2 linked regions of the Kluyveromyces lactis genome follow. The protein of the gene in region 1 interacts with the protein of each later gene in a biochemical or structural test. Links are inferred from orthologs where the notes say so. Each region holds a gene or a part of one and is shown on either strand. Other genes may lie near its edges. The genes, in order: SEC4 and MDR1.

Region 1 (2,846 bases):
TTGACCATCCTTCCGACGTGGTTCGTCGTGAAGTTGGTAAACTTTTCTCAGTTATCTTCTACATAAAGGCAAATGCTCATCGTCCAAACGTGAAGTCTCTTCTCGAAACGGGGGCATCTGGTCCAATTGAGATCAGAGAAATCCCAAGCTGGTTGAGAGAGAGGGCTATTAAAATCTTCAACGAAATTGAAAAAGAAAGATTGTTGATCAAGGACCTACCCGCTCAGGACATCTTGAAGACTAGGTATTTCTACTTGGCATCAACTATGTTCTATTGGGCTGCTCATTTAATCAATACTGGTGCTAGAGTGTGTCTGGGTCCATTTGCTAAATGTTATTTGGCACCCTTCTTGATGAAGTTAGACAGAATGAGAGATGTTTGTAAAATGGTCAACATTAAGGTTTACAGTATTTACGTGGAACTTGCATACATTCCAATAAGCCGCACGTTGTTACCTGACATAATTTCGATCTTGGATGACACAGATTTGACTAGCTCTCATGAATTACGTGTGAATTTGACTTTAGCAGAGAAACTTTTCTCCACACAATCGTTGGTTATGGACCATGCTGGTAAAGTGAAGATCTTAGAGTTCGTTTTGGACAAATTGTTCTGTAAGAGTTTTGTAGAGGTTCGTCTCAAGGCTTCCTATGTCCTTGCCGGTATCGTGCATAACATATCTTATGATACCGATACTTTGCACACTCTCTTGGAAAACTTCAAGCGTCAACTTGGTTCATATACTTTCGAGGAGAAAGCTGCACTCTCCAAATCCAACACAGATATTCACGGTGCGATCTTGGGTCTCGGTGCCATCATCGAAGCATTCCCGTACGTTTCACCGTTACCAAATTGGATTCCAGAGAATATGGCACTACTAGCGTCCTGGGCAAGAACAAGCGGTATGTGCGGTGCTGATGCAAAGAACATCATCTCTAGATACAAGAAAGTTAGAGCAGATACCTGGCATTTGGACAGATACCAGTTCACCTCGGAGCAATTAGAAGATATGGAAGGTGTTCTTTGGAGGAGTTACTACGCCTGAGAAGTTGCACAATCGACACAGATGACCCACAAGCTGCGTATGCACATGAATATATATGTACATCTACAAGTATAAATCGTATAATTTAACTTGACATTGGGTATGCCTATCACCATATACGAATTCGATCAGTATCTAGATTTTGGACAAATATTGTTTGAAAGGGTGAAAGCAGGATAGCCATCACGAAAGGCACTAACCCAAACACTTTACGGCCGAGCTATTAAAACCCAGATTCTGTTGACCAGATATAACCAGCTCGCCACTCCTCCAATATATCGAGATAAAATAACAGTGTTGAACTGTGATATCAATTTTTTTCACTTAATTGAAGCGTGAAGGAAACAAGGGAGATTGAAACTATAATGTCTGGATTAAGAACGGTTTCTGCTAACGGCAGCACGAATAAAAACTATGATTCTGTCATGAAGATTTTACTTCTAGGTGATTCCGGTGTAGGTAAATCATGTCTTTTGGTTCGTTTTGTTGAAGATAAGTTCACACCAACTTTCATCACCACAATCGGTATCGATTTCAAGATTAAAACCGTAGACATCAATGGGAAACGTGTGAAGTTACAACTTTGGGATACTGCTGGCCAGGAACGGTTCAGAACCATCACAACCGCATACTACAGAGGTGCCATGGGTATTGTATTGATTTACGATGTTACTGACGAAAGAACTTTTGAAAACATCAGACAATGGTTCTCCACTGTTAACCAACATGCTAGCGAGGATGTAGTAATGCTGCTAGTCGGAAATAAAAAGGACATGGATACAAGAACCGTGTCTTACGAACAAGGTGAAGCTCTTGCTAAGGAGCTAGGGATCCCATTCATTGAAGCCAGTGCCAAAGACGACACCAACGTCAGCGAAATCTTCTTCACATTGGCCAAGTTGATCCAAGAAAAGATCGATGATGGTAAGATGGAAGGAAAGGCTGAAAAGGAGGGAAATGTAAGCATTCGTGGCTCAGGCTCTTCAGGCTCCAAGTCCAATTGCTGCTAAACCACAGATCAGAGCGTACAATAAGAAATAACAACCTATGCATTGGCTTTGTGTGTGTACATATATATATATATTCAAATGGTATGTATTAGAAAGTTCAAAGGTAACTTTACACGACCATTCCAAATCAGGTGATTTACACGTGACGTAAATAATCACATGACCATCTCCACGTGCCACTCAAGATCAATATAAAATTGCCCAACTTTCCCAATATAAGGGCATCGATGATTATATAAAGAGTGCATTAGAAGGAAATGCAAATAAAGAAACAGATATAAGGATGGACTTAAAGATTTTATTTAGCCAATAAACAGTTGGGTAGATTTCTATTTTCTTGTTCAGCTTCCTTGTATCTTGAATTGAGAAGTGTAATCCTGATCACCATCTTCAGCTTTATAACCAGGAAGGGTTGCTGTTTATTATAACCCTTATAATATTGTCAAAAGAGGGATTTGGTCTTTTTAAATTCAAGGCACAATGCTATTTGGTGTGAAGCTAGCTAATGATACTTATCCCCCATGGAGGGATTCTTATATCGATTATGAGAAATTGAAAAAGTTGTTAAAAGAGTCCGTTATCAGAGACTCTGAAATGTTCAATGGTTCTTCTTCTGGCCGTGGGAAGAAGGGGAAGAAGGGGAAGAGTAATGTAGATGAATATTGGAGTGAGAAGGATGAATCCAAATTTGTTTCCGCGTTGGATGAGGAGTTGGAGAAAGTTTATGGATTTCAAACTTCTGCTTACAATAAGATTATGAATACCTTGAATAGGCTTGAAGAAGAAACTG
Region 2 (4,488 bases), on another chromosome or scaffold:
TGATGAGAGTAAACAAAGCTTTGTAGTTTTTGGTCTAGGAGCCTCTCATTTCTTAAGATCAGAGACGTACTATGGCTCTACAAGCAATAAGATCAGTATTTCTACCCTTCAATGCTATAACTTGCAACAAAAACCTATATATAAAGAGTTGTTAGGTCCGTTTGAGAGTCATCCAAAGTTCGATCATACTAAGCCTTTCATCGAGATCAAGTGGAATATGGGTGTTCCAATCGGTGGTATTTCAAACTTACTTGAGCTGAATCTTCTTTCACAACCCATCATTTTCAAAATGGATTTTAGAACGTCTGAAAAATTGATGTCTTACTTATTCCCTAAGTATAAATCCACACCGAGCGACAACAGTTCTATAATTCGCCAATCAATCGATATCTCGGATAGCGAATCTCAAGTGTTGTCTCGGAAACCATCTATTCTCAGTAACTCGACAGGCAACTCGGTTAGATCTCCAATGACAAGAAGAATGATATTGACCGACTGGGATATGCAATCTTTTACAAAAGTCTTAGATAAAAGTAATTTGAAGGGTGAAGCAAAACATTTATATGACCCTGAATATGAAATGGATGAAATGGTGAAGAGATCTAGTAAGTATTTCAATGTTGCTAAAATCTCAGTTAATGGTTTGATAATGTCCGTCAGCTATAAAGGCTCCAGGAGTGTAATAACAAATGTTGATAATTTAATCGTGAAAGTGCCTACTATTCAATACACCAACAAATTATGGTCATCTGAGGAACTTATAGCCTCATTCAAGAAGGATATCGTGAAAGTTGTGTTACAACACACTGGTAATATTATAGGTAACAAGTTTGTGCCACACAAAAATGAAAACAAATATGAGCCATTGAAACAAATTTCTAACTTGATAAGACCAGAATTACAAAAGATTCAAAAGAAAAGTTCAGCATCGTTGCCAACACTATCCAGAAGAACTTCTAAAGTACCTTCAAAAACACAAGAATCAGATAAGATCCCTGACCAAGAAACAACGACATCCGCTCGTGCCGCAATAGATACAGTTCCAGAAACGTACGATGTCGAAGAATTCTTTCCCGCAGAGACAAACACATAAGATGGACATATGACATAAACGATTTAATCCCATCCTTTTTAATGACCAGATATGTACACGAATATGTAATTTCTTACTTATGATAGATGATTTACTCATGCATTTCAATTCTAATTCTAGCTCCAATTCCTGATATATATAGCACGATTATTACCATTTATACATAATACGAAACTGATGGTAATGATAGATGCTGTGTGTAATCGTTATAGATTACGGATCTTAGTGCGTAATGGGGTCACTCAGTGTCGTTAGTACCTTCTGAATGCTCTTTGTAGATCATTTTGACGTTACCCGGTTTTCATATTGTTGTGTTATAATCAAGCCAACTCTGTTAAACATTGTAACATGCGCATTATATGAAGAATGTGGTATCATTAAGAGAGTAATAAAGCATAACAGCCAGGTGCAATTGCTTCAGCTATTAAATCTAGGGTGTCAATTGGGCAGTATTAAATCATGTCCTTTTTTGATACGCTTCGAAATACAGCGAACTCGGTAAAGGAGAAGTTTGCAGATAACTCTTCGCCGAAATTAACAAGAGATGAGAGGTTTAGACTAGACTATAAGTTGCCCAGTACTGAATATATATTAGATGATACCAGTGCAGAGATCTCTATGTTGAGTCCGTATAAAAATGTGAATCGTAAATCAGCAACGTCAAGGGAAAAGCCAGTTGAAAATACATATGTTTATTCGGGGAGACTATTTTTAACTCCGCATTTCCTAGTCTTTAGGGATTCATTTGACCACATGAGCTGCGTTATGGTCTTGAATATATCTACCATTAAAAGGGTTGAGCGTGCTAATATAGCTTCTTACGCTTTTTCTTTGCAAGTGACGTTGCTTTCTGGAGCTCGATTGATAATTCAATTTATCGGATTAAGGTACAGGTCGGAAGAGTTCTCACATAAGCTCAAAATGCAATTGAGAGATAATATACCACAGACGAAGAACATGCCAGCATTCTTAGGCACGCTATATTCAGAATATATCATTGAAAAAAACATAGATAAGAACCGTGAGTTGCAACCACCGTCACTAGGATTGGGACAAATATATAAATACCCTGGTGATCCAGCACTTCAAAAGGAAAAGGCTAAATTAAGGCTATGGTTTGAGTATTTCAAATCCAACGGTATGAATCTCTCGCTCTTGAGGCATCCAGCTTTTTATAAATTGATAAGAGTTGGAATACCTAATAGATTAAGGGGAGAGATATGGGAACTATGTTCTGGTTCAATGTACGAAAGGTTCATGAATAAGGATTTGTACCAAAAACTTCTGGAAGACCATAAGGGAGAAAACTCACAGGCCATTGAAGAAATCGAAAAGGACTTGAACAGGTCTTTGCCTGATTATGCAGCATATCAAGATCCAGAAGGTATAGACAAATTGAGAAATGTTCTTGTAGCATATTCTTGGAAAAATCCGGACGTCGGATACTGCCAAGCAATGAATATTGTTGTCGCTGTCTTGTTGATATTTATGAGTGAAGAGCAAGCATTTTGGTCACTATGTAATCTTTGTGACCTTTACGTTCCAGGGTACTATTCAAAGACAATGTATGGAACTCTATTAGATCAACGAGTATTTGAATCATTTGTCGAATCTAAGATGCCAGTAATGTGGAATCATATTGCCAAGTATGATATCCAACTATCTGTGGTATCCTTACCTTGGTTCTTATCTTTATTCTTCATTGCAATGCCTCTTCAATTTGCCTTCAGAATAATGGATATTTTCTTCGTGAACGGCCCGAAGACTTTGTTCCAAGTAGCGTTGGCTATTTTGAAAGTCAATGCAGATGATTTACTTGAAGTTGATGATGACGGTATGTTTATTGCCATCTTGAAGAGTTACTTCCAAAGACTAGACGACAGCGCACACCCAGAATCTAGCGATGTTAAATATAGGCAAATCACAAAGTTCCAGGAACTTCTTGTCGTTGCGTTCAAGGAGTTTGATATTATTACAGAGGAACTTGTGGAAACAGAAAGAAACAAGTATAAGAAGGGTATATTGCACGATATTGAATCCTTTGCAAAGAGAACGCAACTAAGAAACGTGTCAAAGGCCGTTCATCTCAGCCAGAATGAAGTCTCTAACATATATGACATTTATTACCAGAGTATAGACTCTTACAGAATTAGTATGGGAACAGGTTCCTCAAAAATGGACTTTACATCATTTGTTCAATTCCTTGCAAAGATATGCGATTGGTGTAAATCAAGTTCAAGTGACCTTGACCATAGGTTCAGGAAACAACGTAATGATTTTTTGAAGAGGTTGTTCAAAAGTTGGGATAAAGGAAACTTTGGTGAGCTAACGTTGAATGATGTTGTCTCTGGCCTAGACAAAATGAAGACAGAAGATATAATGGAATCCATGAACAACTTCTTCCAGCTTTACGACGATCAGCAGACGGGCAAAATTCAAAGAGAACAAATCTTGAAAATGTCAGAAGACTTACTATTCCTAACTGAACCATGGAAATCTGGTCGTTGTATTGATCTTCTGACCCAAACATCGATAGAAAACGATATCGCGGAAAGCATCGTGAAGAAAAACGGCGGAAGAGTTGTTACTTTAGAGGAGATTGAGTTACCGAAGGGCGTCGTTATCGATGACGAGAAATATAAAGCTGAACAATCTGAAAGGTATTTGCATGCCGCCAGTAATTTCTTACAAAGATGCTTCGAATATGCCCAGCCATTGGAACAAGAGGTACCCATCGATCTGTTAGACCTATCTGACGATACAGACAACGAAGAAAAGAAAAAGAACAACGAGAAGAGATGGAATAGTCTAAAGGCTAATGTCGCATTAAACCCAAATACCCCATGTACTCTTGATCTGGCAACGTTCCGAATGCTTGTCTTAGCCGATGAAACATATGAGCAATTTTTTGCTAACACCCTAAGGAACTCTATTCACGTAGATGAGCAGGTGAACGCGCTGGAAAGTCGCTCGAAGGCATTGAGGAACGTATTTGACGGATTAATCGCTGATGGTAGAAGAGTTGCCAATCAAGTACGGCGTAGAGTGGACTCTGTTGCCACTCAGCAGTCGGAATCGCCAAGTCAAGATAAACAAATTGACCTAGACGACTTTAGCACTGACCATGGCGATGAGAGCATGGAATTATTACACTCCGATTATAGAGATTTAATGGATATGGATGACGACGAAATGCACTCGGATCATAAAAAACTAAATTCATTTGATCTAGACCAATCTACTCACCCAGACAACCATCAGGGGAAAAAAGATCTGATCGAATTTGAGACATAAGCGCTGTTAATCCGGCTCTTCGTATATAGTTCTATATATTATGTCTATAATGTATTTTGGCAATCGGAGCTCATTACATATTGCCATAACTCAAGAAAAAT

What was found.
Region 2: of the proteins of SEC4 (region 1) and MDR1, one has a biochemical effect on the other in vitro, tested with the Saccharomyces cerevisiae proteins (2 studies listed by BioGRID). The link is inferred for Kluyveromyces lactis from reciprocal best matches to the Saccharomyces cerevisiae genes SEC4 and MDR1.

Annotation. Positions count from the first base shown.
Region 1 is NC_006041.1:1,073,888-1,076,733, forward strand, and holds SEC4 (Rab family GTPase SEC4), read left to right. Parts: upstream 1-1,411; coding exon 1,412-2,056; downstream 2,057-2,846. Other genes in the region: proteasome activator BLM10, read left to right, coding at 1-1,046; VTC2 (vacuolar transporter chaperone), read left to right, coding at 2,537-2,846. UniProt on the Saccharomyces cerevisiae protein: Involved in exocytosis. Maybe by regulating the binding and fusion of secretory vesicles with the cell surface. The GTP-bound form of SEC4 may interact with an effector, thereby stimulating its activity and leading to exocytotic fusion.
Region 2 is NC_006040.1:1,290,320-1,294,807, forward strand, and holds MDR1 (GTPase-activating protein MDR1), read left to right. Parts: upstream 1-1,552; coding exon 1,553-4,387; downstream 4,388-4,488. Other genes in the region: HOB2 (Hob2p), read left to right, coding at 1-1,093.